Linked DNA regions of Styela clava. The protein of the gene in region 3 purifies or fractionates together with the protein of the main gene of each other region. This does not show direct contact. Links are inferred from orthologs where the notes say so. Each region holds a gene or a part of one and is shown on either strand. Other genes may lie near its edges. The genes, in order: activator of 90 kDa heat shock protein ATPase homolog 1-like, serine/threonine-protein phosphatase 5-like and heat shock protein HSP 90-beta-like.

What was found.
Region 1: the proteins of heat shock protein HSP 90-beta-like (region 3) and activator of 90 kDa heat shock protein ATPase homolog 1-like fractionate together in Caenorhabditis elegans (co-fractionation; 3 studies listed by BioGRID, with this or other methods). This does not show direct contact. The link is inferred for Styela clava from reciprocal best matches to the Caenorhabditis elegans genes hsp-90 and ahsa-1.
Region 2: the proteins of heat shock protein HSP 90-beta-like (region 3) and serine/threonine-protein phosphatase 5-like fractionate together in Caenorhabditis elegans (co-fractionation; 3 studies listed by BioGRID). This does not show direct contact. The link is inferred for Styela clava from reciprocal best matches to the Caenorhabditis elegans genes hsp-90 and pph-5.

Annotation. Positions count from the first base shown.
Region 1 is NC_135250.1:395,269-406,069, forward strand, and holds the start of activator of 90 kDa heat shock protein ATPase homolog 1-like, read right to left. Parts: upstream 4,069-10,801; 5' UTR 3,824-4,068; coding exon 3,700-3,823; intron 3,118-3,699; coding exon 2,960-3,117; intron 2,265-2,959; coding exon 2,151-2,264; intron 1,137-2,150; coding exon 909-1,136; intron 1-908.
Region 2 is NC_135264.1:16,672,442-16,683,177, reverse strand, and holds the start of serine/threonine-protein phosphatase 5-like, read right to left. Parts: upstream 4,771-10,736; 5' UTR 4,650-4,770; coding exon 4,544-4,649; intron 3,295-4,543; coding exon 3,125-3,294; intron 2,706-3,124; coding exon 2,634-2,705; intron 2,227-2,633; coding exon 2,079-2,226; intron 1,539-2,078; coding exon 1,424-1,538; intron 1-1,423. Other genes in the region: reticulocalbin-2-like, read right to left, coding at 6,804-7,003, 7,586-7,680, 8,044-8,220, 8,657-8,896, 9,706-9,863, 10,238-10,374.
Region 3 is NC_135251.1:21,554,028-21,564,142, forward strand, and holds the start of heat shock protein HSP 90-beta-like, read right to left. Parts: upstream 5,113-10,115; 5' UTR 5,089-5,112; intron 1-5,088. UniProt on the Caenorhabditis elegans protein: Molecular chaperone that promotes the maturation, structural maintenance and proper regulation of specific target proteins involved for instance in cell cycle control and signal transduction. Undergoes a functional cycle that is linked to its ATPase activity.

The DNA.
Region 1 (10,801 bases), on a different chromosome or scaffold from region 3:
AAGTAAAATAGACTCATCTCTGAACAAAATTAGGAGTACTCACTCAGAAGTAAAAGAGACTAATCTCTGAGTAAAGTTAGGGGCACTCACTCAGAAGTAAAAGAGACTTATCTCTGAGTAAAGTTAGGGGCACTCACTCAGAAGTAAAATAGACTCATCTCTGAGAAAAGTTACGGGCACTCACTCAGAAGTAAAAGAGACTAATCTCTGAGTGAAGTTATGGGCACTCACTCAGAAGTAAAATAGACTCATCTCTGAGAAAAGTTACGGGCACTCACTCAGAAGTAAAAGAGACTAATGTCTGAGTGAAGTTATGGGCACTCACTCAGAAGTAAAAGAGACTAATCTCTGAGTAAAGTTAGGGGCACTCACTCAGAAGTAAAATAGACTCATCTCTGAGAAAAGTTACGGGCACTCACTCAGAAGTAAAGGAGACTAATCTCTGAGTAAAGTTAGGGGCACTCACTCAGAAGTAAAATAGACTCATCTCTGAGAAAAGTTACGGGCACTCACTCAGAAGTAAAATAGACTCATCTCTGAGAAAAGTTACGGGCACTCACTCAGAAGTAAAATAGACTAATCTCTGAGTGAAGTTATGGGCACTCACTCAGAAGTAAAATAGACTCATCTCTGAGAAAAGTTACGGGCACTCACTCAGAAGTAAATGAGACTAATCTCTGAGTAAAGTTACGGGCCCTCACTCAGAAGTAAAAGAGACTAATCTCTAAGTGAAGTTATGGGCACTCACTCAGAAGTAAAATAGACTCATCTCTGAGAAAAGTTACGGGCAATTACTCAGAAGTAAAATAGACTCAACTGAGCAAAGTTATAGGCACTCACTCAGAAGTAAAAAAGACTTCTTTGAGGAAATTAAGAGCAACTATTGAAATCAAGCTAAAATTTCTCACATTTGTTTTATCCGTTTTCTTGTCGTTCATTGCAAGATTATTCATTTCCTTTTTAATTAAATTCGTACTATTTTTCATCGTTGAAACCGCAGTTTTCGAATCAACTTTTGCATCTTTGGGGGGAAGAATTAGTTGTGTGCCGTAGTTCGTCCGTAGTTGATCAAGATAGGCTTGAAGTTTTTCACGAACCAGTACGACTCCGAATGTTTTCATCAGTGCTGTGATTGTCTGAGATTAAAAGAATGAGAAATTAGTCATATTTCACTAATTGGGGTAATTTAGACCATTGGTCTTTAAACTTTTTCATTGCAACCTACTTGGTACGGCCAATTTGTTTTGCCCCACCAAAAAACTAAAATAAAGTCAGATTAAATAATACAGAAAATTCGTATGCATCCAAAACTGCAGCCAATAAATACTAACTCGCCTACGTTTCATATTTCAATAACAGAACACATATTGCCCATTTGCCCTTTATATCAAACCCGGTCAATTGGATTTAACTTCCCTCAGTACCGATGAACTATAATATTAGTTCCGTCACGCATAATGGCTAGTCTACATTTGGTTTTGTTCTGGCTGGGATAGCCGTACTCCTTTGTTTCAATAAATAAAATTTCACAGCACACTCAAGCGTGTAACATTTCGCTTCATTAAGTCAGGATCTGTTTAAAATGTTTTCTTGTAAATAAGGTATTTTAATAATGTTCCTGAAACTTACTGTGACTCATGTTGAGATCTATAATGACCAATTAGGCACCCCCATTTGAAGAGCCCTGATTCAGACTTAAACACAGACAAGCAGATAAGACTCATCTCTGAACAAAGGGCCACAGTACTATTAAATATTGCTAGTTTCAATTATATCACAATAGGTAATTTTGATTGTAGCAGCAATCAATGATGATGCTGTTTTCTGCTACTGAGAGATGATTTCCATTCTAATTATAAACGTTTAATTAAGTGTCCATTTTTACAGGAATATCTTGATTTTTCCTGTAGTTTTTTCTTAATGTTAGAAGTTTTAGGAGAACAAGGCCCACAAGAATTTTCGGGCAACAAAAATGGGCCACGAAAGAAAAAAGGTTGCGAACTACTGAATTTGAAAGCCACCCCAACTCAGTGTCCTCTCTACTGTAAATGCCTCTCCCACTCCCCATGATCTTCTCTCTTTATTAAATACTCTCGTATTCACTCCCACTCCTCGTGCTCACTTTACTAAATAATCCCACTCCCACTCACCGTGTTCTCTTTATTCTCTTTATTAATCTTGATTTCCACATCAACTTCATCAGGTTCGTATTCTTCCGACATGTTTTCTATGATAAGTTCGCCTTTGTAGACTGTGGCATCATTCTATGAAAACAAGAATAAACCGTGACTGAATGTCATATAAAAGTGTTCCCACTTCCCATAAGAGGAGAAAGAAGAGGGCAATCCTCAAATGATGGCAGCTTTTTACATATTGTTACATATAGTGACTGCTCACACAGAACTTTGTTCAAGTCAAGACAAGTTTATATTTTCCAACCAGTGAAAAAGGTAAGTTTTACACAAAATACGAAGAGAAAAGATAATCACACATTTCAAGTGGGGAAGGGAAGCCGTGAGGAACCAAAGCTGGATATCGAGCAGTGACATCCATGGATCTAATATCTAATTGAAAAGATCAAGAAGTTCAGTTACTGAGAGCGAAAGACATGCAGAAGCATTGTATAAAAAATTCTCACACATAATCGCACAAGGCCAAATGTCATACAGAAGTGTTTCCATCAATTTAAATCACACAGAAAAAATCTGGGTGGAGTATCGAGTCCTTTGGGGGTAAAAGGAAAGTTGAAAACATAAAAGTAATAGCCTTCTTACATTCCCTTCCATTGAAGTACTGAAAATTTGAACTAAACTGGCCACCCAGAATGTAATGACGCTCGTTCCCAAAATAGCAGATATTTGCCAATCAATCTTTGATAGAGGAGGAATGTTAGCTGAATTTCAGAAGACATCCATCGGCAACTTCTGATAAAAAATATTCAAATCAAGTACACGCCCACCTTCACGCCTCCTTTCCATTTAGCTGTGATTTTCCACTCATAGAAACAAATGATTTTGTTTTTTCTGTTGCTAACGGAAGCCTCTCCTTCACAGACTATATTTGATAAGGTACAGGATCCCACACTCTCATCACCGATCAACATGCCGTCAAGAAGTTCTGAATTATTCAAGAAAAAATTAAATTATAAATTTTTAACTGTAGAAATACCAAGATAGAGTTGTCCAAAGAAATTTGAATATCAGAATATTATTCATAATTGGTCACTTCGATATATTCTTGATATTGGGAATAATTTAAAAAAAAATTCCTAACTGGGGCGTGATTCCTGTTCCTAACTGGGGCTCTCTGCTTTATAGAGGAAAATTTCGAAACATGACCTATATTCAGTGCAGCTTCACTAATATTATTCAGTATTATTGTAATCCATATAAACATGCACGTTTGAACGTACTAAAAACCAGAGTGCGAGTTACGTTTAAAACTAGCTGAATGCCTCGAGAGAATGAAAAATTTATGAAAACAGATGTTTTTGCACATAGTGAGGGTGTGATGGCAAGTTTCAACACAGGCGAAGGAAGAAATTTGCTGAAAAAGGTCGCAACCATTGGTTTGGAATACCCTCATTTAAAAAATAGTTTCTGGTAATTCTACTGCAACAACAAGTATTTAGCAAAACAAATCACATGTACACATAGCGTCCAAATAAGTTATATTTATTGCCATATATTTATGACTCACCTTTAAACTTATTCTTTGACCACTGGGTGGCGTCACTTTCTCTCCAATGCCAGTTATTAACGTTATGAGCATCAGCTCTCTCTTCAACTATCCAACGTGGATCGCCTTCCCCCCACTTTGCCATATTTACTTGCGGGAGAAATATGAATTAGGAATAAAAATAAAGTTGATCAATTGACTGCAATGCAAAAGTCCTTCAATAATTTTCAAAGCTTGATCTCAATCAGAGTTGCTGGAAATAATCAATGAAAACCGACGTGATAGGAATTCACAAAGCAGAGTAAAAGATCCTTGTTGATTTTAAGATTTACAACTCGGTTTACGAAGTTTTTATTTACAGTGTGTAATTTATCTGGAAAAAAATATTCATGAATAGATGTTAAAACTATTATAGTTATTGTTGTTGTTGTTGTGGCTGTTAGTCCATAAAAAAGGATGACCCACGAGGGGTTAAAAAATGAAAACTTGTTAACTCGTAGAAGGGTTTCTCATTCTGCCATTACTAGTCTAATAGCATTCGAGAGTTTTAGGAAAAAATTTTGGTCATCTGATGGTCAATGCATGATTGATTCAGATTATTATCAAGACAAGCATGGCACGATCTGACGACCATGCCAGACATCCTTGTTTCAGAGACAAATAAAGTGTTCGTTTTCAGGTTTTATTGAACAATTCTCATAACTGAAATCATCATACAGCCATATCTGCATATGCCACGCAGTAAACGAGAAGGTCCGAGGCTGAGAGAAGCGAAACATCTGTAATCCGCTTTGACCACTTGGAGTCTTTCCAGTTCAAAAAGTCTCATTTCATTATTTATTCTTATTTTTTTTTACCTAAACCTTCTGTCAGTCTGTCTATGTTATTCTTATTTCGGTAAAGTTTTTTCAAGGTTAGGATATCTTAACTATTCTTCTTTCCTTGTTAAAGCGTTCTGTGCCATCGTACCGTAATAACTTCAGGGAGTCAGAACTCAATAACTTCTGAACCTGGATTCAGCGTTTTCCCCTAGCTTCGCTGCGGCTGCCATACCTACGTGTTACAATTCTGCTACGTTAATAAAACTATCCGCTCTCGACTGAACAATAAATAGCGTGACAGCGTTACCGGTATACCGTATCACGTTTAACACCAAAAAACGTTCACAATTTAACAAAACAACGACGTACCGGTACCGATTCTGCTGTGAAACGCGACTTACGAAACATCGAGAACTCCCGGATCAGTTCGAAATGAGCATGCTCGTCTTCGCCATGGGGAAATTACGATGCAAAATGAATATTTGCAAAATAACAAAATGTTGGTCAATCGTCAATTTTGATATAAATCTAACAAATCATACACATTTATCAAAATTTGTTAAATATATATAATGCTATAGCTTGTAACAAGTTTTATGCTGTTTCAACTAAAATAAAACACAATGAAAGTACATTTATGTTTGCATCGTAAATTCACGTTCACAATATAAGACCAGCTGTGAAATGTGAATGAGGAGAAATTTCTGGAACGGCGCCCCTTGTGCAGCGATCGGCAGGAAGTGTAAAACAGTAAAACCGCAAGTTTTCGCGCATGTGCGATGCCGACAAAACTTTGAGGAATTTTTTGCGCCAAAACATCCGACGATATTTGCACATTCGCAAATCATCTGTCTTCTTGTTTATGACTCCCCATGTTGGCGCTTAATCAGTGAAACTTCTTATTATCGTGGATCCTTGTTCATGTTTCTTAAATGTAGAATTCCCATATTTATCTCGAGAGGTAAGTCGACAAAAGTATAAGTATAAGTATAAGTTTATTTCGACTCCATAATCAGCAATAGACGATAAAAAAATAGATAAAAACAAAAGTAAAAGTAACTGATTATAGAATCGGGAAAGCGAACAAAACCTAGAGTAAGGTTTGAAACGTACAGATTTTAGATGGAAAGGTATTGATAAAAGAAGTAGTACGTGTTCGCTCACTCAAAACGGCGTCACTACATGGCAACAGCTTCTCGTTCGGATACCTGTCCATGTCAGGTAGGCTATGTATGTTTATCTGCCTCAAAAATATAACAGTATCTGCATAATATTTAAACAGTAAAACAGAGACGGGAATACATGTTCAAGACCTTACTGGCCTAAGACACAGATGTGCGATATGCACCCCTACTAACAAATATAACAGCAGTTTAGGACTGCTGCGTTATAATAGGACAACAGACATAAAGTAGGCTATACAAATAAAACTCTAGTAAAATACACTAGACAAGGAGATACGACACAACGACGATATGTGTAATATAGAGAGTTAGTTTATGGCACGTCCATGTTCCGGTGTGAGAGGATGAGGCTCGGGTATGGGTCGCTAGAATGGTATGTTTTTAAGTTTTTACAATGAATCTCACAAAACACGTAAAGATTCGTTCGGGATATAAACTTGCCAGAAACCAACGTTAGATGGGACAACGACACAAGAACAATAATTTTAAAAGGAAAATGTAAAAATCTTTTGTTTAGGCTTGAGTTTGTTAATCACTGTTTGAACTGGACAAAAGAAACATACAATAGAGAGTCTAGCATAAAATACGGGCCAAAATTGTACGAAATACGAATACGAAAATTGTTTTCCGATCAGATGGTGTCAGATTTAGGCACACAGATGTTCCATGTCATACGCGTTTATTGTAAAACGGTTGACTGTAAATAAAATGAAATAATCAATAAACACAAGATGACAATAATCACAAGATGAGGGCGGAAAGAAAGTGCATAACCAGAAGTTAATAGAAAATAAACTTACATATGATAACGCTCCAAAGGCCTAAATCGACAAGAAACTGACAGGAAACGTGAACGATAACGTTATTGGCATAAAAATAGCAACTAAATTTAGAAAGCAGTTAATAAGAATGAAATATAAAATACATGAACAATTACAGCAATAAATGACGACGATGGTCATATGGGGCCCCGGTTACGATACCTTCACCACAGGTCTACCTAACGAGACCAAAAGCCACCCACACGCTAAGTCAATAAAGCGGATAATGCGAAACCACACCACTAACATCATAACAAGATTAAACAAGAACGTCCTACGACGCGTAAAGTCGAGATGCAAGAGCCACGCGTGACACGTCAGATGCAGTAAAGCCCGCGAAACTCGCGTCAAAACAGAAAAGCAATTATCGATAAAAATTAGCAGGTCGAACACAAAGAAGAACAGCGTTCAAAATATTATCAACTGAAAAGAAACTTCTATCGCCGACACAGCCGCCCCCAATAACCCTCCAAGGGGTTATTCATTTTCCAGGAGGCATAGTTTCGTCACCAGTCTGGTTATTTCCACACCTGCTGTTTTGACGGTAGTTACACACACACGGTTAAAAGTAACTCTTCCTAGTAACCAACGTCTTCTTGGCACGTCGTCATCTACAGCAATTACGATATCATCATCAATAAATTCCTCTTTTTTCCACTTTGTTCGAGTCATCAGCATTGGTACATACGTTCGTCGCCAGCGCTTCCAAAAGCGATTCGAAATTGCTTCGGTTTGTCTCCATCTTCTCTGATGCGCTGTTGATCCAAAGGTGTATTTAGGCGTGAGGGGAGCTGGATCACGTACGTTGTCGCTAATAGAAAAGGACGACTGTTTATAATATCGGGCGCGGCTAATAAAGCACTTTGCAGCTCTAATTTGGAAACGGACATAAATTTCATCGGAGAAACAATTGATTTGGCCATCGACAAACTATAATTCACACACTGACATTTCTTGGCACGCAAGTGAGCCACTGCGACGTAAGCTTGTTCAGACGCATCGCAAATCTCATAAATAGCGGTGTTCGAGGCGCCTAAATATTGTCTAGGCACATGGAAATTAGTCAATTGTTTTAATGATTCGGTCCACTCTTCCCGAGCATTCTTCCTGAGGTTATCTTTGTAAACAATGTAGAAATTGTCGTCATTAGTGTTCCAATGAAGTCCCAGCGCCTTATAACTGGGCACATAATCAAAATTTGATTCAACGTCAGGATTACGACAATCCCCTGTGTTAAATTTCGACAATAATGTTTTGAAATTTGAAAGCCATTTTTTCAATCGAAAACTCCTGCTTGCTAATATATTAGAATTTTCTTGAGCGTCGGAAAAAGCGGAGTCACCATTACATTCTGATGAAAGCAAATCGTCTACGTAGCAATCCCTAAAAACCGTTTCTACTGCTTCCATTGAAAATTGCCCGGTGTTATCAAGCGCGGTTTTTGCAACGTATAGCGAGTCGACCACACCAAATATTCTCACTAGAAATTGATACACATCAGGCGGTGTTGTGGATCTCAGATTTCCTTGCAAGAAAAATCTGACTGAATCCGTGTCCGACTGTGGTAGACGCACCATGTGATACATGGCTACAATATCAGCATTCAATGCAATTAATCTTGTTCTGAAGCGCAATAAAACTCCAATCAGATTCTTAATGAGATCAGGTCCCGAATATATCTGATTATTCAAACCGATTCCACAATATGTATCCGCGGCGTCAAAAACTATTCGTATCTTGCCAGGTTTATTTGGATTCTCAACTCCATGATGAGGAAGATACCAAGTTCGAGGACCCAAAGTATCACGTTCTTTAACAGTCAGCTCTCGCACCCAATCATGTTTGATGTTTTTGCTCATAGAGGTGCAGTACACATCTCTCAGACCGTCATTTTCCAACAGTCGTTTTTTCGGATTCCTACATCTCGTACGGACAATAAGACTGTTCTCCGACATAATGGAAGTATCGCGACGCCACAGAAAGCCGACTTTATAATGCCCCTCAACAATAGACGTTTTAGCTCTATTCACATTCGCAGCCACGCGATCTTCCATAGATTCGGCGCGCTTCGTGTTGTAGCTCATTACCATCGCTTCCGTACTCGAAAATTGCTTAACTTGGTGTTGCAAGATATTGTAATCATCGTGTAATAAATGACAACTAGCATGAATTAAATCGTCTTCACAGGCGCGTTTGTTTGCGCCTAGCAAAGTCCATCCGAGTGGTGTTCTTATTGCAATCGGTTCATTGTCTCCCCCTACACGTCTTTCAAGTTGAAAGTGGGCAAATGGATGGTCCGCACCTATGAGCAACATAACTTCGTTTTCTCTAATGTCAGGAAGTGATAATCCACGTAAATGATGGAAGGTTTCAAAATCTTTATGACTTCTTTCAGGGTGGGGAATTCTGGTGCCACATACGAAAACTGACTTTAGATGTAGTTCTTCGCCGTCGGGATTTAATTTGTCACGCACAAAAAGTTCGACCGCTTCCGAGTCATGCAAGACCCCAGTTCCTCCGAGGGTGGTTAACATGAGCCTTTTACGACGTCCACGCAAATCCAATTTAGTTTTAAGTTTGGGATGAATGAGAGAGACCTGACTTGCCGAATCAAGCAAAGCAACTGTATACTCGGAGCGTCCATTAGCTCCTCTAACCAGAACAGGCAGCAACTGAAATTGAACTCTAGTTGTTACCGACACCGCATTGTTTATACCCTGTCGGTTTATTGGTCTTGGGACGCTTTCAAACATGCGAATTCCATGAATACATTTGTGATGTTTCCCATTGCATATACTACACTCGACATCACATCTACACATAAATGCACGATGGCCCGGTTCAAGACATTTAAAGCAAAGTCTGTAATCAACAACAAAGTTACGTTTTACATAATCGGTCGCACCGAAAAACGTCTCACAACTTCTCAAAGAATGGCGAGCATTGCAGAATTGACAACGTGATGCGTCACTATATGACGTATAATCGGATTCCAAGTTTGATAACGTTGAAAATGGAGTCGGAAATCGGCGACGAGCGCTTCTGGGCATCTCGTGGTCAGTTAAATCAGTTCTATTGATCACATTGCAAGTAACATCTGGAGAAAAAGGATTGGCGATTTCTTCAGTTCTTTCCCACAACCATTGCTCAAAGTCAATTAATGTCGGATTAGAGTTTTTTTGAATAAAACCTACAACAAATTTATTCCAACTCGAGTTCAGTTCTTGAGGAATCCTGCTTGAAACCCTTCTTACATTCTCGACGCTACTGATGTCAGCCAAATAACACATCTTTTTGAGATTCACCACGCAGTCACGCACGTCTGAGTGAAAATTTAGCAATCTATCGGCCGAAAGAGGCGACATACGTTTTCCATTTACAACTCGGTCAAGCACCGCCCGTGCGATCAGTACCGGCTGTCCGTAGCGGCGTTTTAATTCTTTTAAAACCAGTATGTAATGACTACCGGCGGTACCTAATCCCTCAACACGACGCTTCGCCGAACCCGACAAATACGCGGACAATCTCACCATGCGTTGACCATCATCGTCTAACCGTGAATGAACATTTTCATAAAACAATTCAATGAAATTAGGCCAGTTTATAGCACTCCCATCAAACGGACTTATTTGTACCGGCGGCAAATGATGCTCAGCCCACATTTTAGAATTTAAACTCAAAGATAAACACGTTTGCTCCGCTAGAGAAATGTTATCATTTACCGTTCTGGATCCTGCTTGATTTGGTTGGAGATTATCGATCCAGGAGTCTACCGATTGGTCTGGCAACGGCATTTGGTTTGCTGGTGAAGGATTTTGGTAATGTCTTGGAGTGTAAGAAATCGTATATTCACGACGTTTATCTGACGCGGTAAAAGTCTCTGGTTCGAAGCGGGCACTTTTTCTTCGAGTTGATTGTAACACGTCGTGTTCGTCAAAGTTATTGAACCTGTGGCTCATAAAGGGACTCTTTAAAAGAGTTGGTGTTTCTCGGCGATCGTCGTGTTCTCGTGCTCTAGATTCTCGAAGTTGGTCAGTCGCCGCCCCCATTTCACCACCGGACTGCTTGGCGCACGCTGGCTGGAGATTTATTGTATTATCGCTGTCCTCTTCCATCCTTTCACTTGAAATCTGAGAGTTCCCTTCGTCAGGAGCCACGCACGATATTTCAGGTTCACGGTCGATGTAACTATCAATTTCATCGTTCATACCTTCAACTTCAGATATCACTTTCTGAACGCATTCTTCGAAAGCAGCTTTCGACTCTGCGTTGCGAATTTGAGGTAATATGTTCGATA
Region 2 (10,736 bases), on a different chromosome or scaffold from region 3:
AGTAGGCGCTGACTTTGAATGAGTGATCGTCTTTCATTTACTGAAAATTAATGCCCAGCTGTCATTTGGGGAACACCTTCCCTAACATTAAAAACGAAAAATGTAACTTTCTTTTCAGATAACATGGCTTAAAATAATATTACTTATTTATTTGATAGTGGTACATTCTCTAATTACTGAAAATAGAAGTTTTTGAGGGTTCCCAGATACCGGGTCTTAGGGCCTTCCGGAAGGCCCTTTTCAAGAAAAATTTTGAAAGGGTCTCCCATCCATCATGTTGTTTATGTTAGTATTAATTTTTGAAGTTTTTTTTGGTATTAGGTATTTGTGTTCTGGGTTTTTAGAGAAAAAAATGTACCTAACTGAATATAGTTAAACAATAATCCCTCTTATAAAACTGATCGTTTAAAATTTTTGATGAAAAATTTATAATTTACAAAAAAAATTGTATTTGCGCTTTTTTCTGTTAGCAACTTTAGTTTTTCAGTGCAACAACATGATACAAGAAATTCATAAACATGAAAAAATTAGATCACAAAGGTTTTTTTATCTGAGAAATGAGGATTTTAAAAAATTGATTTTTTTCAAATTTTTCAAAAAATTGAAATTTTTATTAAAAGTAAATAGGTCAGTGATAAAAAACGAAAATGTTTTATAGAAATTGTAACCCATGATTGTGTTCATGAGTAACTGGCAATCAATTAATACCATAAGCTAAAGAAAATTCAAAATCAAACTACACGAAATCAGGTTTCAAAACTATTTGATTAAAAGGGCCTTCCGGAAGGCCAAAAGACCTTCCGGAAGGCCTTTTGTCGAATTATCAAAATACGCCGCAGTCGTCCTATGATTACCATAGAATGCTACCCAAACCTCTCCAAAGAGATAGAGGAGAACATCAGTGCTTCAGTATATTCAATATCTAAACTGCAGGGTGGCAAGGAATGAATTATAGTGGGAAACTATAGTTGAGGTGGTATATAAAAAAACAGACCATTTGGAACATATTCTATAGAGAACATAACTTTTGTGCAAAGCTTCCTAGGTTACAATCATACATAAACAGAAGTTTGAATTTTAAATAAATTTTCGGTGCTCCCGAAGTATGCGAACCAAGATGGCGGACATCGGAACGTAACATGGGTAACAGGTTAGGGTTAGGCGATAATTTTTTTCTAATTTTAGTCCTATTATCAGTTCGAAGACTAGCCAAGAGCCTCCCGTAGTATTCATACCTAAAATTATGGCCTAACCCTAACCTAGTATAATGTTACATTCCGATGTCCGCCATCTTGGTTCGCATACTTCGGGAGCCCCAAATTTTCTTTATTTTCACAGAAGTAATTAGAATTTCAGGTCGGTCGGGTTTCAAAGAGGCTGATGCTACTAGTCTAGAGCTTGATACAGAGATGAGAATTCCTACCTTTTACTTAATCTCATGTCTTTCCCTGATTTATAATATTGGATCAATTCCGACATGAATTCCTTCGTCATGCCTTCGTCAGCGATTCGAGGACCTTTGTAACTGTCGTCAATTGCTGAAATAAATCAAATGAGAAATGAGGAAACAAAAGTACAAAATAAGAATTTTGATATGAGGTAATCTTTAAATATAAAAATAATTATAATTTAGAATAAATAAACTAGAAGAAATAGGTCTCTTGCATACGACTGACAGCACAAGAAGTGGATCATTGCCAGCAAAGTAACCTCTGCTAAAGGCTATTGTAGTATTTTGCCTCTGTCTGCAACTGCAAGTTCCTATGCTTTCGCAAAGTAACTGATTACATCTCTGATCACCCACGTTCAAAGATTTGCATCCCGTGCGGTGATAACTATATGTGAGAAGATTGCCGGGCAATCCACCAATGTGAATCTACAGATCGGTTACAGCTGCCTCCACCATCAAGTCCATGCAAAAAAATAATATTCTATTCCCATACCAGTTTGGGGTCGTAAAAACATACTGAATAGTTTAGGCCTATTTTTTTGTGACGAGGTTATCAATTTTCGCAGATATTGTTAGTCGCTTGTTCAAACCTTGTTTGAAGCAAAGACAAAAAAGTACCAAAACTTACTCATAGCTTCAAGATGAATTGTTTCTGAAACAATCTTCTTAACTTCATCACAAGCGATCGCTTTCTCAAACGCTTGTCTTTTAACAATTTTACTACATTCAGTGTATTTAACTTTCGCATCTGCATCATTAGGCTTTGATTTTACGACCTGAAAAGTTAGAAAATATATTTTAAGGGAGATTTAAAGATTCTTTACTCTTGTTACAAGTGCTTCTTTGCTTATTCATAGTAAGACATTGCAATACATGAAAAAATTGAATTATGAAAGTTTTGCGAGAATTGGCATGTTTTAACTTTTAACTGGAGTTAGGAGTGCTCATCAGAATCATATTTTTAAACTCCTCAGAGTGGGGGGTTGGAAACAAAATTTGAATTCCCTGAAGTCTTCGGAGTTAAAATTTCAAATTTTTTGTGGTGATAATCAAAGTCAGAAATTATCTACAGAAAATATACAGAATCAAAGCTTGTCAAGTGTTCTTAGCAGTCTATTAAATAAGGCCAAAGTTCGGAAACTTTGATCAAAAGATCCAATTAGACCAGCTAATGAAATCTGACCGTTTCATAATCTTTCATTGCTGCCTTGAATTTTCCCATTGCCATGTTAGCTGATGCTCGCCTGTAATATCCCTGTGAAAAGGTGTAATTACAGTTATTTGTCAAGCTGTATTATTGCATGGGAATATATATCTCTTACAGCAGGAAGGGAGGCGACCCTTGGGCCACAAACCGACACGCCAAGCCATTTAGTGTGGCCCTCAGATTTTTCTTCATTAAATAAAATCTGGCCAGATTCCAAATCCGAAATTTTATGTTTAAAAAGACACTCAAATGGGTAAAAATGTTTTTGCACTTGTCGCAGCTAGATGTCTTAAGTTGGTTATATGACCCACCGATAAAAAAATTGCAAACCCCTGTCCTGCATTTTAGAGCATTTCCAGTAATTCCTGTTTTACCGCAATTTAGGGTTGCCAAGATCACAATATCAACTGGGCAAACTATGCAATATCTCAAGAGTGAGACAACAAATTTCTGTAGTGTAAACTCACTTTAAGATATCTTCGATCAAGAGCAATAGCTTTACTCGCATCCTCGAGTGCGTAGCCATAATTTTCAAGTTTTAAATTCGCAAAACTTCTGTTTCCAAAATACGCAGCTACAGAGGGATTGAGTTCGATAGCTTCCGAGTAAAGGAGAATCGCTTGTTCGTAGTTCTTTTCTGAAGGAGTAAATTTCGAAGGTCATTAGTTAAAGTAAGCTTTATTATATTGATAAAAAAGAAAAATCATAAAAACTACTATGCAGAAAGAACATAGCCACAAATACAGACTTTTCAGATCACAGACTTTCGGACCAGGAGGTGGTTTGTTTGAGGTAAGATTCGAGATTGGAATCTAAGGTCTAGCGAAGTAAACGCTGTAATTGTTTGAATAACAGCGATCAAAAATGTGATGTCAAATTGTAATGTATCTGTACGACGCAGTAAGGATTCTTGAAACAGGTATTTAGTTTAAATCCAATTCAATCAATTCTGCAATTTTCAACTAAGCAGGGATGTCTCATGCCAACTAGCAGAATAGAATATCTGAATATTGTGTTCGAGCAATCGATTTTTTATTTTGAAGAAATGATAAACTTGGGTTGTTTTTTGTCTTTTCACATCATGTTTTCTTGTTTGCCATTATTCAAGCAGTTACGACGTTTACTTTATGAGACCCTATGTCTGTATGTGTAAACAGAAAATAATTGCAGAAATTGTATCAATTTTACTACAGTATCAATGTATCATGCAAAACACCGGCAAAATACTTCAGTCAGTCAGTGCTCTAGACCAGAGCTACTCAACTATTTTTACCGGTCTTTCCAAAAATTATATTTCGGCATCTTTAAATACACACTTCCTCGGTCGACTAATGATTATTAGCTAATCAAGATTGTTTATTATGGCGTTACAGTTCCTCCCCATATATATTTAAATCTATAAAAGTGATTTTATAAAAGGAAACTTCAAAAGTGGGGCTAATGATCCAAAATAAAGAGGCGGTCCGAATAATAAATTAGAGGCGGTCCGAATTGAATACCCGAAAGGTCCGGATTCGGACCGCGGTCCGCCAGTTGAGTAGCCCTGCTCTAGACTACTTGTTTTAATAAATAAAATGATATTATTACTGTTATTTATATATTCGGATACAGACTAATTCGGTTTGTAAAAGCACAAATTTAGCTTGTCTATTCCTACAATATTTTCAAAGTTTAAATAAATTTAAGTTAGTTATACTAAACTTCAAAAATATTTTATCAGTGCCCTATTTTTTAATGATTAAAATAATAATATTTCTGTTATTCAGGCGTTAAGATACACCAATTTGGACCTGTAAAAACATAAATTTAGCTTGTCAGTTTGTCCATTCCTAGCAATTTTTTCCAAGTTCACAGTAAGCAATTTACGAAAGAGTAGAGATATTTACCTTTGAAAAATACATTTGCTTGTTCTTTAACCTTGTCGGCCTTTTCCACATTCGGATCCACCGAATCCACACTAGATTCTGTTACTTCCGACATAATATAATTCATTCAAGCAATCCTCAAAATTCCAAACCGCCAAAGTCTTTGTAATGACACCACGTGAGCATTTTGTGGCGTCGAAACAATGCCATAGATTATTTTACGAAAGCCGACTGCAGCCTTTTGCAAAAAAAAAATTAAAAATTGAACTTATTGTATTCACCTGAATTTGAAGAATAAAAAATTGTTTTAATATCATTTATTTTAGGCAAATTTTTATTCAAGATAACAAAGTTACTACGGTAAATTTGAGGAAATAGGAATTTTCAAATGCCACGCAAAAACTCATCTGTGGTACCCAGGGATTTTCTTCCTTTCATTCCCCAGATACAATAATAATAACAAGATTCGTCGAAAGCCACTATTTCATCTATGTAGTGTTTGTTCATCATCAGTTTCATAAGAATTCAATTTAATCAATAGCAAACCCCCATGCCCGACATGGAATGGTATCCGGACGAGAGGCCGTGGCTTGCCTCTTCCCGGGATTAATATGTAAATCGGAATCCTAAACATGCCAGTTCAAGTGCCTGCAACAATCATCTGCCGTGACAGACAGTCAAAAAACATCAGTTACGGATATCGGGATAAGTATGAAAATCTTATCCATCTAATGAACATCCGATTTTCGTTCTTCTATTGTGCACCTATTTCCCCACATCACAACTGAACCAGTAACATAATCAGGGAACATTGACCTAAACTGGCATATGGCAAACTCTCATCCAGTTACCAGTCCATGTCGGGAATGGGATTAGTTAGCCAAATTTGGTTTTCGAAAGCATGGACTTGATTGTGGAGGAAGCCGTAATCAACCGGCAGTCAAATGAACCACCCTACGGTAAGAGGGGTCCAGCACTCCTCTCGCACATAATTAACTCTGCATGGGATTCGAACCCACTCACGGTAATCAGAGATGCGGTCGCGAGCGTATTCCTAACACCTAGCAAGATGAGCCACATCACCAAGCCAAGTAAAAGCATAAAAGGAAATGGACAGCACCCATAAAATGTGTTGTATTATATTATTGTCTCAAACATACAGAAACGGCAAATGTTCTTCATAAAAAATTTCATGCGGCAAATGAGGCATGCAGTGGATATAAAATGAAACGATATACAGGGTGTCCATAAAGTCCCTTTACAATTTCAATTTGTTATGAAGTCAATTATATCTAAACCAGGTTTGTTATTTTTTAATCATAATCACTAATTGTTAAGTATTTTTAATTCATTTGATAACACTTGTGAGGGCCAAATTAATATATAGTATCGATAAATTTCCTTTATATGTTTAAAAAAAATTTAAGACTTTATGGACACACCCTATAAATATGCTGACAGTGCCTTCCTTATTAGGCAAAACGAATAGAATTACAGAAATCGGTATAAAAAGTACTATAACAATGTCAAAGGCTTTCACCCAGAAGGGATGAAATGGAATATCTGTTTCAATTTTTTCATCCTGTAGCCTTTCATTGGAATAGTTTGGTGAATATTTCTTCAAACTAGGATTAGAAAAGCACCAATTTCATTATAGTAATACTGCTGTTATTTTTTACTGCATTGATGATTTTTGAATTTGAATTATCTATAACGTTGTTCAGCTAAGGAAAAACTAAAATTATTGTTATTATTTTAATTGTTTAATTTGTTATTGTTAATTATTGTTTTTTCAAGTATTTACTAAAAGCATGATCAAAGTGCGCACTTGAAAGATGTCAAGAAAGACTTGTCCCTGAGCCAAGCTACAGGCAAACCAATTGAAGATTCAAATTTCAAGGTCAGGCTAGTGGTGCCCAACCTACTGGGGTCGTTGCGTCCTACCAGAGGCGTTCAGCGCTCCGGGCCTCTGTTTATCTTTCCGGTAGTATTTATAGTGTTAATTTGATTGGTGGATTTCAAAAATTGTTTCAGATGTATGAACTTGCTAACATGCATTGATTATGACAAGATGATTGGTATTGGTAAAGAAGTTTGAAGTTTAAAGATCAAAATACCTCATAATGCTTCAATAATTGCTTTATATAATAATAAGTTCAAAGGCTACACTTCCTCATGATGTTCCAATAATTGCTTTCCGTAATAAGTTCAAAGGTCAGGGGCTAAACTTCCTAATGATGCTCCAAGAATTATTTCCCATATTAAGTTCAAAGGTCAGGGGTTAAAGTTCCTCATGATGCTTCAATAACTGTCTCCCATAATCTGTGGCATCAGAATCTACCCAGTCCACATAATTATTCAAAATTTCTTCGACTGATAATTTATCGTCGTGATCTGAGTCTGATTCTTCCATTAAATGTTCGGCTTCCTCACGTGCTAGTATGGAGTTGTCTGGCGCCATCCAGAGGACGATCTCCTCACCTGTTAGTAGAAACAGTGAAAAAATTGAAAGTTGCAAAAAATAATGATTAGTCTGCTTCCAATTAATTGCCAATAATAACCTTGTTTTGTCTGATTAAGTTAGAATAAGAACTAACAAAAGCTTACAGATATACTTCTATATACTGCTATTTCGTAAAAAAAGCTTCTGTTTTTTATTTCATTGTTTTTTAAGTAAATATGCCCAGCGATGCGATATATAGCGACAAATTGACAATGAAATTACAATAATTCGTCAATATTACAATACTTCATTTGTTCAGTGCAGGGGTGCACATTTTCATTGACGAGACATTATAACGAAATTTTGACATCTAGCTGGGCCATCCAAAAATGTGAAATGCGACTATTGCTTAACCTCACAGTAATAAACCCACTGGGCAAAAAAATTCAATGCAGCGAGAAGAATAAAAAATTCATTATTCATTTTTACCCTATGAGCTGAGTATTAAACAAGGGCCACACTAAAAGGCTTGGCCTGTTGCACACCCCTTGTTTAGTGCTTTATTTAAAGCAAATATAAAACACTTTAAAAAACAGTCATCAGTTCACTAGGGGTCTTACCCTTCAAAAGTCCATCCTTGTTGGTGTCGAATTCATGTTGAAACTTTTCCTTTTCAAAAACTGCCCATTCTGGGTCGCCTTCATCTGCTTTCTTCCTGTGAAAGGTTGAAAAATATTGAAATTGTGAATCTAATATTACCACATATGGTAGAGCAACTATTATTATGATATGAGAATAAAAAAATTTGTTGGGTGCTCGTTTGTTACCGGGCTCTGAAGTTGATATTTTGTGATAATTTTACCAAAAACTCATCACGAACAAAATCTTATAAATTAAGAATACGAGAAAATTTGTCTCTCTGAGAAAAGTTTGATATGAACGCTGAAAATAACTAGCAATAAGCTACAAATAACAGATAGTAAGACAAAAATACGTGGATATATAATTTTTTATGTATTTTTTATTTTTAATCAGCTCCATGACACCACTGCTCTACAGGCTTGAATTAAAAACTTACTGATAATCTCCGAGGAATTCTTCTAGGTCTATTGCACCATCTCTGTTCGAATCTGATGAATCTAGTACTTCTTCGATCACGATATCCCGGGTTTTTTCATGAAGTCTTGGATGTTTGAAATATTGAAACTCTTGTAAATCTAATCCTCCACTTTGGTCAAGATCAGCCACTTCAAATCTGAAAAGAAATAAGAGAGCGGTGCTTAAATAGGCTATATGGACACAAAGTCCGAAACAAAGTACTTTTCGTTCTGGTATAAATTAATCTCAAAGTTTCGTGCAGTGTCGCGTCAAATCGGAAACAAACACCACGTTTGGAGAATTAAGAACTGTGTTCCAATGAAAAAAAAAACGAACTGAAACTGTCAAGAAATTTTAGATAAGAAACTCTGGCTTGGCATAAGATTTAGCAATCTTATCAGCCTTCAGTCCATGCATAACTATTCCCATACTCGACATGGACTGGTAACCGAACGAGAGGCTGTGGTTTGCCATATGATTAAGACGTCTTATGGGCTTTGCTCTTCCCCGGGATAAATATGTAAATCCTATCTTGTCCTTTCCCAAAATATACACATAAAAATTCCATTCTAGATATTTCAAATAAAACCCACTTTCTTCTTTCCTTTTTATACGTTGCAACAAAGTCTGACCATTCATCGGATGGAGGATTGATAAAATCCGGCGAATCTTCGTTGAAATCATCTCCGTAGGAGTCGAGAGCATATTCTGACCACTGGATGGCATTGTCATTGTTTGTATCAATACCAGAGAAGGAGTTTCTTGTGTCTTCTGTTTCGAATAAATCGTAGGATCGAACCGCCCACGCTACTAGTTCATCTATTGAAACATATCTAAGAAAATGAATTAGAATTTTGAAAAGTGTTAGAATCAAGCTTGCCAACAGGGGATTCAATTTCAAAAATGTTTTGTGAACGAATTGCTGATCACAGCAAGAGCATGGCCACGGAAGAGGGGCAATTTTTTCTTATAATGACGTAATACGATGCACACTCGTGCCTTTTGCTCCGAACGAAGTAAGATAAAAGGAGTCACTGATATCCAACAATATCTTGAAGAACAGCTCTACAGACGTACCTCGCCGTCGAAGCATATCAGCGCGGATTTTCATCTATCTCGTTTGGGTTATTTCGTGAAAGAATTAATATTAGCAAGCAAGGAAATGTCCGGTTTTCAGTAAATCGATCAAAAATAGAGCAAAATGGTGTTGAAAAAGGAGTATGAATTCATGTTTTACTGCAAATGTCGCAAAATGGCATTTAAATTGTTGAAAACTTGAGGGAGGGATGGACATGTTCCCTCAGACCCCCCTGGCTACGCCTATGAATCACAGGTACCAGTAAAAAAAGTCAAGGCCCAGTACTAGCCACCACCAACAAATATGGAGCCAGTATATAATGTTTTTACACGTCTGCAAAACTTTTTTACAAATTCTTTATAGTCCTTAGTTTAGCTAATTCATAAGATATACCTATCCAACACAGAAAAATTGAAAATAACACAATAAAAAGAATTTAACATCAACTTCATTCTGCTCATGCCACTTTTATTTTTCCTGTTTGGGATGACTTTTAAATGAATAACGGAATGGAACTGCAAAACCCTGCTTTTTACAAATGCTATAAATTTTATGTTCATTTACCCATCTTTATCCGTATCAATCCTGTTTTCCACCAATTTTCTCAATTTTTCTTTTTGTTCGAGGGGGGACATATTTTCAACTGCGTCATCGTCGTCAATATCATTTTTTTCATCCCCCCATATGACATCACGGTCAAAATCTACGTTATGTTCTCCGTCCTGGAATTGAACGAAAAACTGAGAATAAAAGCCTTGTCCAGTCAATGTCCACCCATACCAGTATGGCACAGTTCCCCGATTCCAAGAATAGCCCCCACATTAAAAGACATTAATTATAACAGTGCCGACCCCTCCTTTATGAGACATTCTGGGCCTACATATTGGCATTTGAGTCGAATTCTATAAAACTGTTCATAAACATTCAACTCTAATTCCAGAGTTAAGAATGACAAAATATAAATTAACGTTATAATACTCTATTGAAAAAAGCAGAATAATTTAATGTAATATGTTTGATGAAGATGCTGCCAAGTTATGGTTCAGTACTCAAAAAAAAATTAAAATTTCTAAATTTGTACATCTATACCCCTTACCTTAATGTGACTTTCCTTTACTTTGTTGACAAATTCGTCATGATTGTCTTCACGTTTGGTTACGGTCGCTTGAATTGTAATAAGAGATACAAACAGTATGACTAAATGAAGACCTGCCATAGGTCTAATACCGGTAACTGAAAGGAGAATAGTAACAAGTTAATGGAAGAAGTTACCGTAGTATACCGGTCTCCCGGTAGGCTTATAGAAGAACAAGGATAGGATTTACATATTTATCCCGGGAGAGAGGAAAGCCGATAGGACGGCTTATCCCTATGGCGATCCACGGCCTCTCGTCCGGTTACCATTCCAAGTCGGGTATGGGATTAGTTTTTACTGTATTGTTTGTTTTCGGAAGCATGGACTTGGTGGTGGAGGAAGCCGTAACCGACCAGCGGTTACGTGAACCACCCAACGACGGCGAGGAGTCCAGCAATCCTCTCGCACATAACCATCCCTGCATGGGATTCGAACCTGCGAACCCACGCAGAGTAATTAG
Region 3 (10,115 bases):
TCGATGACTAGGTTGTTCTTGCATTTCCTTTGCAATCTTCTTGAATCGTGGCTCCACGGCGCTCAATGCAATTCTCATATACTCATGTCTACACTCTTTGCACAAATTATTTTGTTTTTAATAGTTGTTAAAGCAGAAAATGCTGATTCACACAAATAGGTATTAGGAAATTGACACAGAAGTTTTGATGCTTTTTTTGGCAATTGCTGTATCCGCTTTGTGGAGAGAAATCTAAAAAAATTCTTTCTCATGTTTTTGAGGGTATTAAAAAGTCGGGTTGCACACTATTTTTACTATATTCCAACAAAAGCTGAACAACATGTAACTATGGTGCGACAATGGCGTTCTTTTTTTGTTAGTTGCATAACAATGACTAAAGTGGAAATCAATTCGTGCGGCGGAAACTATCAACTCTTTGGGCAACCAACGAACGAGAAGGAATGCGTGAATATGTCAACACGTTGTTGTAAGAAACGGCATTGTGTCGTCATAATTTCGGGGCTAGCCCCGATCGGCCCCGATGATTTAGTAAAAGAAACAGAAAACAAACGAGACAAACGCGGCGAGTGGAAGATAAAAGAGTGAATACGATATACAATGAGCAACCGGGGCAAAATCGGCGTCGCCCCGTCAACGTTCGGCGAAGGCTTTGCGAGCGAAAAATGAACCATGTCGGGAGAATATGGCTAGTGTAGACAGTCTGTGCAACCGATATTGAGGTATTTTTCGAATATTTTTTATTATACCGAAAAAACAACCGGGGCATTGCCCCGGTTGGCCCTATTGACGCGCCGCCACTGATGAAATATATGGGCATGCTTCGTTGGGGCCAAGTCTTCTATTTATTCTTATTAATAAACAACAAAATCATCTAATTCAATACGTTCCCAGATCATTTCTATTTAGTACAGTGCTCTTCAACCTTTTTGTTATTGCGGAACCCCTGAAATAATTTTTCGTTTTTTATGGAACCCCAATTAACACAATTGAAAAAAAAAAAAATACGAAATACTCGTAACACGAAATATTTGTAATTCAAATATTTCTATTTCAACAACGAAACAGAAAGAGAGTAACAAGCGTGAAATTCGATGACTAGGTTGTTCTTGCATTTCCTTTGCAATCTTCTTGAATCGTGGCTCCACGGCGCTCAATGCAATTCTCATATACTCATGTCTACACTCTTTGCACAAATTATTTTGTTTTTAATAGTTGTTAAAGCAGAAAATGCTGATTCACACAAATAGGTATTAGGAAATTGACACAGAAGTTTTGATGCTTTTTTTGGCAATTGCTGTATCCGCTTTGTGGAGAGAAATCTAAAAAAATTCTTTCTCATGTTTTTGAGGGTATTAAAAAGTCGGGTTGCACACTATTTTTACTATATTCCAACAAAAGCTGAACAACATGTAACTATGGTGCGACAATGGCGTTCTTTTTTTGTTAGTTGCATAACAATGACTAAAGTGACGCAACAACCGAAAATATTTTTCTGCACTGTGACTAAACCTCCTATTCAACAAGTTGGCCTACTTGTAGTTTAAATGAGACACGGTGGTCTAAGAATATTTATAATGACGCATCAACATGCTGAACCAGGAAATGCTTTCCCCTTAAAAAAAAAAACGCGGAACCCCTAAGAAACCTTATAAACTCACGGAACCCACTGCATGTGTTGCGGAACCCTAGGGTTTCGCGGAACCCCTGTTGAAGAGCACTGATTTAGTACCATAAATATGACAATCAGAAAAATTGTGATATAACAATTTGACACGTAACGACTGAATGTGGTTCAACTGGAACACCAGTTGAAATCCACTGCCCGAGGAAACAATAAAACCCCATTTTAACGGTTATACCGTAATAAAACCGTCTTAACAAATTAGGTATTTCATGAGAACGTTTCCCATTATTTGTGTGTTTGATTTCTTCGCTTTCCTCTTAAGAAAAGATAAAATTTTACAATGATATTGCAGACAAAGAGATTTCAGTCTAAATAAATAATTAATAATCCAGATGATATGTAAGGAACAATCGTCAATTATAGAATGAAAGGATTTTTGAAAATTTGAGAACAAAATTACTCTATTTAATTAAGGTTTTTATCCTGTGGCGTTATGCTCAATAATTACTGATGGAAAGAAGATGTTGCGAATGTATTATTAATTAACGCAGGTGTTTTATAATATATATTACCTTGTCGTTTATCCTCTGGCATTGTCAGCCTTGTACAAGATTTGTTTTCCATTGAACATTTTGTTTGCCACCCTGTGATTGAATCAGGCATTTATCTTTTCTCCGTGTACTTGGAAAATGAAAATGATTTTTGGAAACAGAACGGTTACTACAAATCAGATTCTGAACAATGGCAGTTGGAATTCCAATGTATCGGCTACTAACCATACGTTTATGGACATGAATTCAACAGTTGCACCGAGTCCGACGTTTAACTTCAGCCGTGAGGGTTCGAACGATTATGTGGTCAATATAACACTGACGTTATCACAAGCAGTGATAGCAATTCTCTTTTTACTATCATGTTGGATGTTAGCAAGTTTTGTTGTCTACTGTATTCATAATGGAAAATGGAAGAACAAACAAACGACAAGTTTTTTCACTGCAAAACTGTTGTACATTATTTATACTTTAGTTCTAGGCGTCCTAATCCAAAAAATGGTATCCACGCAAGTTTCAATCCAGGCAACTCGGGGTGCAAACTCTTCGTCTTTATGTAAGGCAGTCGATACTGTGTCAAAAGTGTATTACTCCATCATTACATATCTCATTTATTTCTTTTCATGGGTGAGACAAAGAATAATTTATGAAAAAGGAATCTTTTCAGGAAATTATATCTCTCGCCTAAGTTGGGGAATATTTGCGATACTTCCATCAGAATTGATTATAATAATAAGTAAGTTGATTATATTTGATCGCTTGCGGTCAGTACCACAAGGTTGTCTAAATATTAACAACATCGATAACGGAGTCCTACGTATTTTCATGCGCCTTCCGTTGATCGTAGCCCAAATCGCCATTCTTGGCCTGCTTGTTTACGCGGTTGTCAAGAACACCATGGAATACAAATCAAAATATCATGGCTCGAAATGGATCGTACTGTTTTGTGACACAGGAACTTCGAAGTCTAATGAAGTACAAAAAACGATTCGTCGTGTTCTTATCTGGGCATTCGTTGCTGTTATCACGGACGTTATAATTGGTGTGATGAATTTACGATTGATTCCAGAACACTTTCCTGTTTCAATTCGTGCGACAATGGGAGACATAATGTCTTTTGTCAATGTCATTTGCATATCCATGACATTTGAAGACAGATGGCAAATATTGAAAGTTTTTTTCCAGTGGAAACAAAATAAGGTTGCTGCTTCTGACTTGCCAACCAAGCCGACTACAATTCCGCAGACAAAACCAATTTGTTCCAATGCAGACAGACGTATTGGTCCATATTGTGAAGAGACCGTGTAGAAAAACTATATAAATATATATAGGGTTACCATATTTTTTTGACTTCAAAGCGGGACGCCCCCAAAGACACGATCCTTTAGCTGTGATCCTGTAACTTTACAGTTTCCGATTTCACTACATAGGCCTACATTTGAAGCCATCCCGACTGTCTTCATTGACCGCATTGTCATCGAGAGTTCATGCGCATATTCTCTGTCTAAATATCTGGTAGGGTTCGAAAAAATAGAAAGGAATAGACGCTAACGATACAAAAGATCCAAATTTAGATTTTTGTATGTACAGCAAAAAGAATAAAGAAATAGTCTGCCGTTTTCAAGCATTGAGATTTACTTATTCGCCCAAGCATGCTTTTCTGTAGATAACACCTTCAAAAACACGTTCGAACGTCCGAACAGGACCAATTAGAATTGATTTCACACGCGATACGTTCGCTAACAATGTTAGCGGGAAACAACGAAACAAACAAAATAACGTATTAACCTTCAGTACGTAGGCTATCTTTGCGCTACACAGCAACAACAGTAACGAGAAAATGTTCGTGTAATTATGCTTGATGGCTGAACGCCAAAGCGGGACTTTTGACTGACTTGTCGGGAAGGCGGGACAAGACGCTAAAAAGCGGGACTGTCCCACCTGAAGCGGGGCGTATGGTAAGCCTATATATATTGAAAGTCTCAGGACGGTCGGCGCATAAATTGGTGTGGAGATAATTTCAATTGGTACTGCCATAAAGAAATATTGAGGCGGGACTAGATTTATATTTTCAAACCAACTGATGTTGAAGACACAGTTTTCATAGCACTTCATTCATGGCAATTGAACTTTGGTGTCCCGAGGTTGGGTTTTAATCCGAAGTGCAAAGATATTTCAAATTTGTGACAGATTGTATCAAAGTTTTATTCTTTATTCTGTGTGTAGCTTATTATTTGCATGAGATGTTGTGTACGTGTGATTAATTTCTTTACGTACCTAATGTTATTTGTATATGTTTTTGCTTACGTAAATATCAAGATCAATTTTATTTTATATCTTGCTTAATCGGACTCCTATTTCCATCAAAAATAAAATTACACTGGGTGCGATAGCGTGGTATTTACGGTATTGTATGTGACTAGGATGGCATTATATGATGAATATTTAGTATTCAAACAACATGCGCCCGTCCTAATCTTGTTGCAATGAGCCCTTAGGCCACATCCACGGTCGTTTGCACGCAAGCATTGCCAAGACGAATATTTTGTTTATGTTGGTTACATTAAAGTTGGGGATTGTCGCGAGAATTATTGCTTTTTCCGGTACTCCCGTAGTATGTGTATAGACCACCAGGTTAGGCCATAATTTTATTTCGATTTTCCTTATATATTTTAGTTTTAGTACGAGCTCAGGGACTGTCTGTGTTAGCCAAGTGAATATCCCCCCGCCCATAGGTTTCAGTCCCTTTACACATGTGGCGTACCAAAATTGATATCACCACTCAGGTTCTTTCTGCCAGCTTCTTGGACACTGTAATTGCTATAGATGACGATTGTAAATCACCTTCTTGCGGTTCCAACTGCAGCAAAGTAACTAATTTAACTATTTAGATTAATTATACACCTGAAAGAACTTAATACAACCAAATACTCCAATAAGAAATACAATAAACAAATAAAAATACACGGAACACAAAATAGGAATTAATCTATGACGTCACAGTCATGAATTATTGACCTGTAATGGAATATACAAAAACCAGGCAAAACATACCTAGAAATACATACGAATAACTAGTATGACACTAAAAATACAACACCAATCCTATTTTACCGACAAACACTTAATATACCTGGCAATACACATAGAAATACGGATATCACACCGGAACTAAACTGCGAACGTAGACTGGTTACGAAAATGTTAAATACAAGGTAACTAGTGAACAGACTCAGAGCTATGCCAAACTGGGGAAACAGCTAACCTGTAGTACTACTAACAATCTACAACAAGAATTACATAGATACACGGTCATAAAACACTATAATAATAACCTAAAACACAGAGGAAATTCCACACTGCCGGCACTCTGACAAACCAGCAAAAAAGGAAAGATACTCAATTGCTTACTAATGACTCGTTTCTAATGACTCAAGTGGTAAGAATAAATATGGGCATAAAGAATAGAACAGAGTTGTGGACGTGGTCGTCTCACACAACTTGATGTAAAATAGGCGTACAAAATTAGATACTTCCATATTGGTACACATACTTCTGCAGCACCATTTTTCAGCTCATCTCAGCAGCGCCGGATTAACCATTAAACAATATAAGCACGTGCTTAGGGCACAAAGCAAAGAGGGGCACCACAGAAATTTTAGAACAGAATTTTATATAGTTTATCGGTGTTTATTAAAATAGCACTAGTTCACCAGACGACTTAAACTTCAAAATGTTCGCTTATTTTTCGTCTTCAAGTGTCATATTACCTACATTATTAAAAATACACACTGAAACTTTTTTTTACACGAAATGGGCCTTTGAGTCGTTTATTTAAATTGTTGTTGTTTTTTCATTTTAGTATTCTCCTTGTTGCTGCATTTTTGTTTTAAAAAAAATTTTTTCTCTTCAACAATTGGACCAATGAACTATTTACACTCTGTGGCGGTTCCACGATCGCATTTCAACAATCTAGTGGTCAGCGAAATCGGGAGTTTTTTTTGATAAGGTAGACCAGGGTGGTCCAAACCCTGTTATGCTTATACATTCCGTGCGGAATAGCATATATTTGTATCTAATGGAGGAACGTTTTTGAGTTTTTTTAGCTATTCCAACTGGGGTTGGGATCCCGGGATAACGCTTTGTGCCTTTATTTTAGTAAAACCCTCCTCTGTTTCCAAGCGTCGGCCACGTGACAGTAGTGACGAAACGCAGAGCCGACTCAACGCCGCGCAATCCAGTTTTTTTTTTAGCTAGGTCCCGAAATACCAACTTAGACAGACTTGGTTGGTTTTTGACAATAGCACTAAGCTTGCTCACCAAATCTCAACCGCCGCGACCCCTTTCTCTTCAACTGAGCTACTGGACTAATTGCTGTGAAATGTTCAGTGAATAGAGATTGTTGTTGTCACCGAAGGCTAACATTTTTATTTATTTCAAAAATTTCTGTGGGCTCTAACAAATATGGATTTTTATTCAGTCAGACGTCACATGAAAAAATGCACAAAAATTGATACAAAAATAAATATACCATCAACGTCTGTTGTGCGACAAACGTCTTCTTCAAGCAGTCGTGTAAAAATAACTGCATATGCTAAAAATATTGTAGCAATAGTAGTGACGGTGAACAGATTTTGACTCTAATACGTAAATTATTAAAAAATTCACTGCAAACGAAATTTTGCTAAGATATATAATAAAATAAATAAAAGAAAGTGAGAAATGTATACAAATTACAAGGAAAGCAAACAACAAACAAAGAAAAAATGGTTACAGCAATGGCAATTTAAGAACATCGTATATAAAATTAGAAATAGGGGAGTTAATAAAAACTTCAGGAGAATTTGCAACAAAACCTATTCTGAAAACAATATAACGTTTATATAAATATTTAATACATTACACAGAAAATGGTCCTAAAATGGCTTTCGTAATAATTTACCATCTATCAGGATCCTCAATGAATTTTCCGTTAATGACTTTAATCTAATGACTTTGTGTGATCGATAGTCAAAATATTATTGCACCTTCCAGAGTTCTGACAAGAAAAGTTGCAAAAAAGGACATGGCCCATCAAAGAAAATTTGCGACCAATAAAAATTGGAATGAGCTTCATATGTCTCTATCGTCCAATACAGGGGTGTAGTGGAAAGTGGGGAAGGTTGAGACACATTTTTCTTTTACATTTGAGACATACATCTTATCACCAAAATGCTTTAAAAAATGTTTGCCAAGTTTCCCACTGTACTCCACTTGTGGGGCACATTCGGACAGGGAAAAAATGGGAGAACTTCAATTTTGTAGATTTATTATTTTTGAAATCAATGTTCAACCAAAATATTTCATATATTTTTCGAAAAAATTCCGTAAACAAATTAAATTATTTCCTTTTTCGAATCCGATAATATACTTGATTCTTTAATGTATTCCATAACGCAAGAAACATAACGCATCTCTAGGCCTCTAAGCACTTAATGGTTCAAACACTGTCGAATTGTGCCCAGTGGGGCATGTCCCGCTAAACCCCGTTCCATTGTTCTCCATAAAGAAAAACAAATACGTCAGACTTTCCAACGGCGATATTAGGAAAGCACGTCCACTCGCCAACGTTATGAACATTTTACAGTGGACTAAAGCTAAAAAAAATATCAGTCCGTGGTTTGTCATGTTGAAACGGATGAGGTAGAAAAAAGAAAAAAATGGAATGGTGAAATTTTAGTTTCAACCCCCCAAAACCAATTTAACCTTATAGCTTGCGTTGCTCTACACGGCCGTTGTCCGTTTACGGGGACGTTGTAACCCACCGGAGGGCGGATTCAAACATCGAACCGCAGACCGGATATAGTATGAGAGCTGATTTTCCACTATGCCCCATGTCCCAACGTGGCCCACCTTCCCCTACAACCTATTTTCTATAGTCGGTCGCGATTCGTTTCTGTAAAAGGACTAAGACCGCCAGTGATATCGAGATTCTTCATGAGTTAGGTATGTTTAATCAAAGAATTTAATTTGACTGGATAATTCCTTGATCGAAACGAGTTTGAAAATCCAGACGTGAGTATACCCCACACTTGGAAACTATTTGTACCTTCAATTAACCCCGTCTTGAAATCGTTTACACCATTTACTCGAGCCACTTGAAAAAAGTGGTGTCGTTATATTTGGGTCCAAATACGCGTTTCCTCAAAAATAAGACGATCTTATTTCAATTTTTCTTTGAAAAATAACACTGAGCTTCTTTTGGGGGGGAGGAGGGGTGTCTTTTATTTTCATTTATTAAAAACAAAATTACAAAGTAGAGAATTATGAGATTTTTAAATATAAAAAACATGACTATATAGGTCTTATTTTATGGGGGAGGGCTTATAATAAAATCATTTTTAAAATTCAGGCTAGGTCTTCTTTTTTGGGTAAACACGGTACCTTGTTACACCTGTGTTGTATAAGCGTAACATTTTTCATAAAAAAACTTCTACGGGCCAGCTTGAGGCAGTCCCTATAAATAAGCGTAATATTATTAACAGGAACAAATTTGGTTTCAGAAACGACCATTGCATGAAACACAATAACATTGATGCAACTGCTATGATTAGCAATAGTATAGAATGGCAATATTGAACATGTTTCCCAGCCACGAAAAAAACATTTTTTACCGTTGCGTAAAATCTCTGAAAAAGCACACTTAGTCAATATATATTATGTGGACTCCCGTTTATTTCCATCAATAACGTATGAGGCTTTGATATTGCACCAACGTTTTTTTTAATTTTTTATCTTCATTAATAATACAGGGTTATGCCCTTTACAGTTTTGTTTTTAGTCAGTTCTCAATATATCTTAATCAGGTTTGTTGTTTTTCAATTGGTAATTGTTCAGATATTTTTACTTCATTTAATACATCTGTGAGGGCCAAAACAATATCTGGTATCGATAAACTCACTTTGCAATTTTAAACAATTTCAAGTCCTTATGGACACCCAGTATAATCAATATTTCAATATGTAGCTGGATACTCGAAGTTGCAACAAACCGAATCTATAAGTTATCTCGGCTTGGATACACTAGTAGTCTAGTTGTAGGCTAGTTTTCGCAGTTAGCACCAACCAGACAACTCCAATACTAAGTTTATGCTCTGATCATTGTTGATTGGAAACATGTTTAACATTACATTGCATCCGGGTGGGGCCTGAACTCTTGTCTTTACCAGTGATGCGCGTTGTCTCCGTTGGACCTTGAGCGTCGTACCACTTGGTCAGTGCATTTGAACGCTTGCTCTTTCCATTTCTTGGATTGTAAAATCTTATTACTTTTATTATATTTGCAATTAACTTGGAGTCTTAATGCATCCGATATTTGACCCTAAATTTTGCTGTTTTATTTTTATTCATGAGAACACTTTATTCCGTGAAGTTTCGGTATACTTGCACGACGTTTTGTTCGGTGCACAAAATCCCGTGTTTTTGAAAAGACAAATTTTGTTTTATCGAAACATTTTTCGTCGTCCATACTTATCGTGCAGTCGAAATAAACTTCTTGTATCCAAGACGTTTTTTTAAATATATTTTGCATTGGCTATTTTAAAACTAATTGTTCTTTGTACCCAAAACTTAGTTAGGGCTTTTTGGAGACTTATGCTTGAGTTTTATCTGGAGATATCACGCTAAAGAGGTATTCCTTAATTAATGATATTTCAGGTATGCGCGACCTGATGCCCAAAATTTGTAAATTAAAAAAAGCATTAAACTGAATTTGTGTCTAATGGAGAGTTAAGCGCTAATTAGAGCTAAACACATAACGTTTTCATTCTATTATTGGTATTTGTTTCTCACGTGTTTTAAGAAATACTAATTATAATTTATTTAGATCGAAACCTCGTAATCTGATTATTAGCAATATCGCGCAACTAAATTACCATTTAGCCACCGAGATTTATGTTGCGA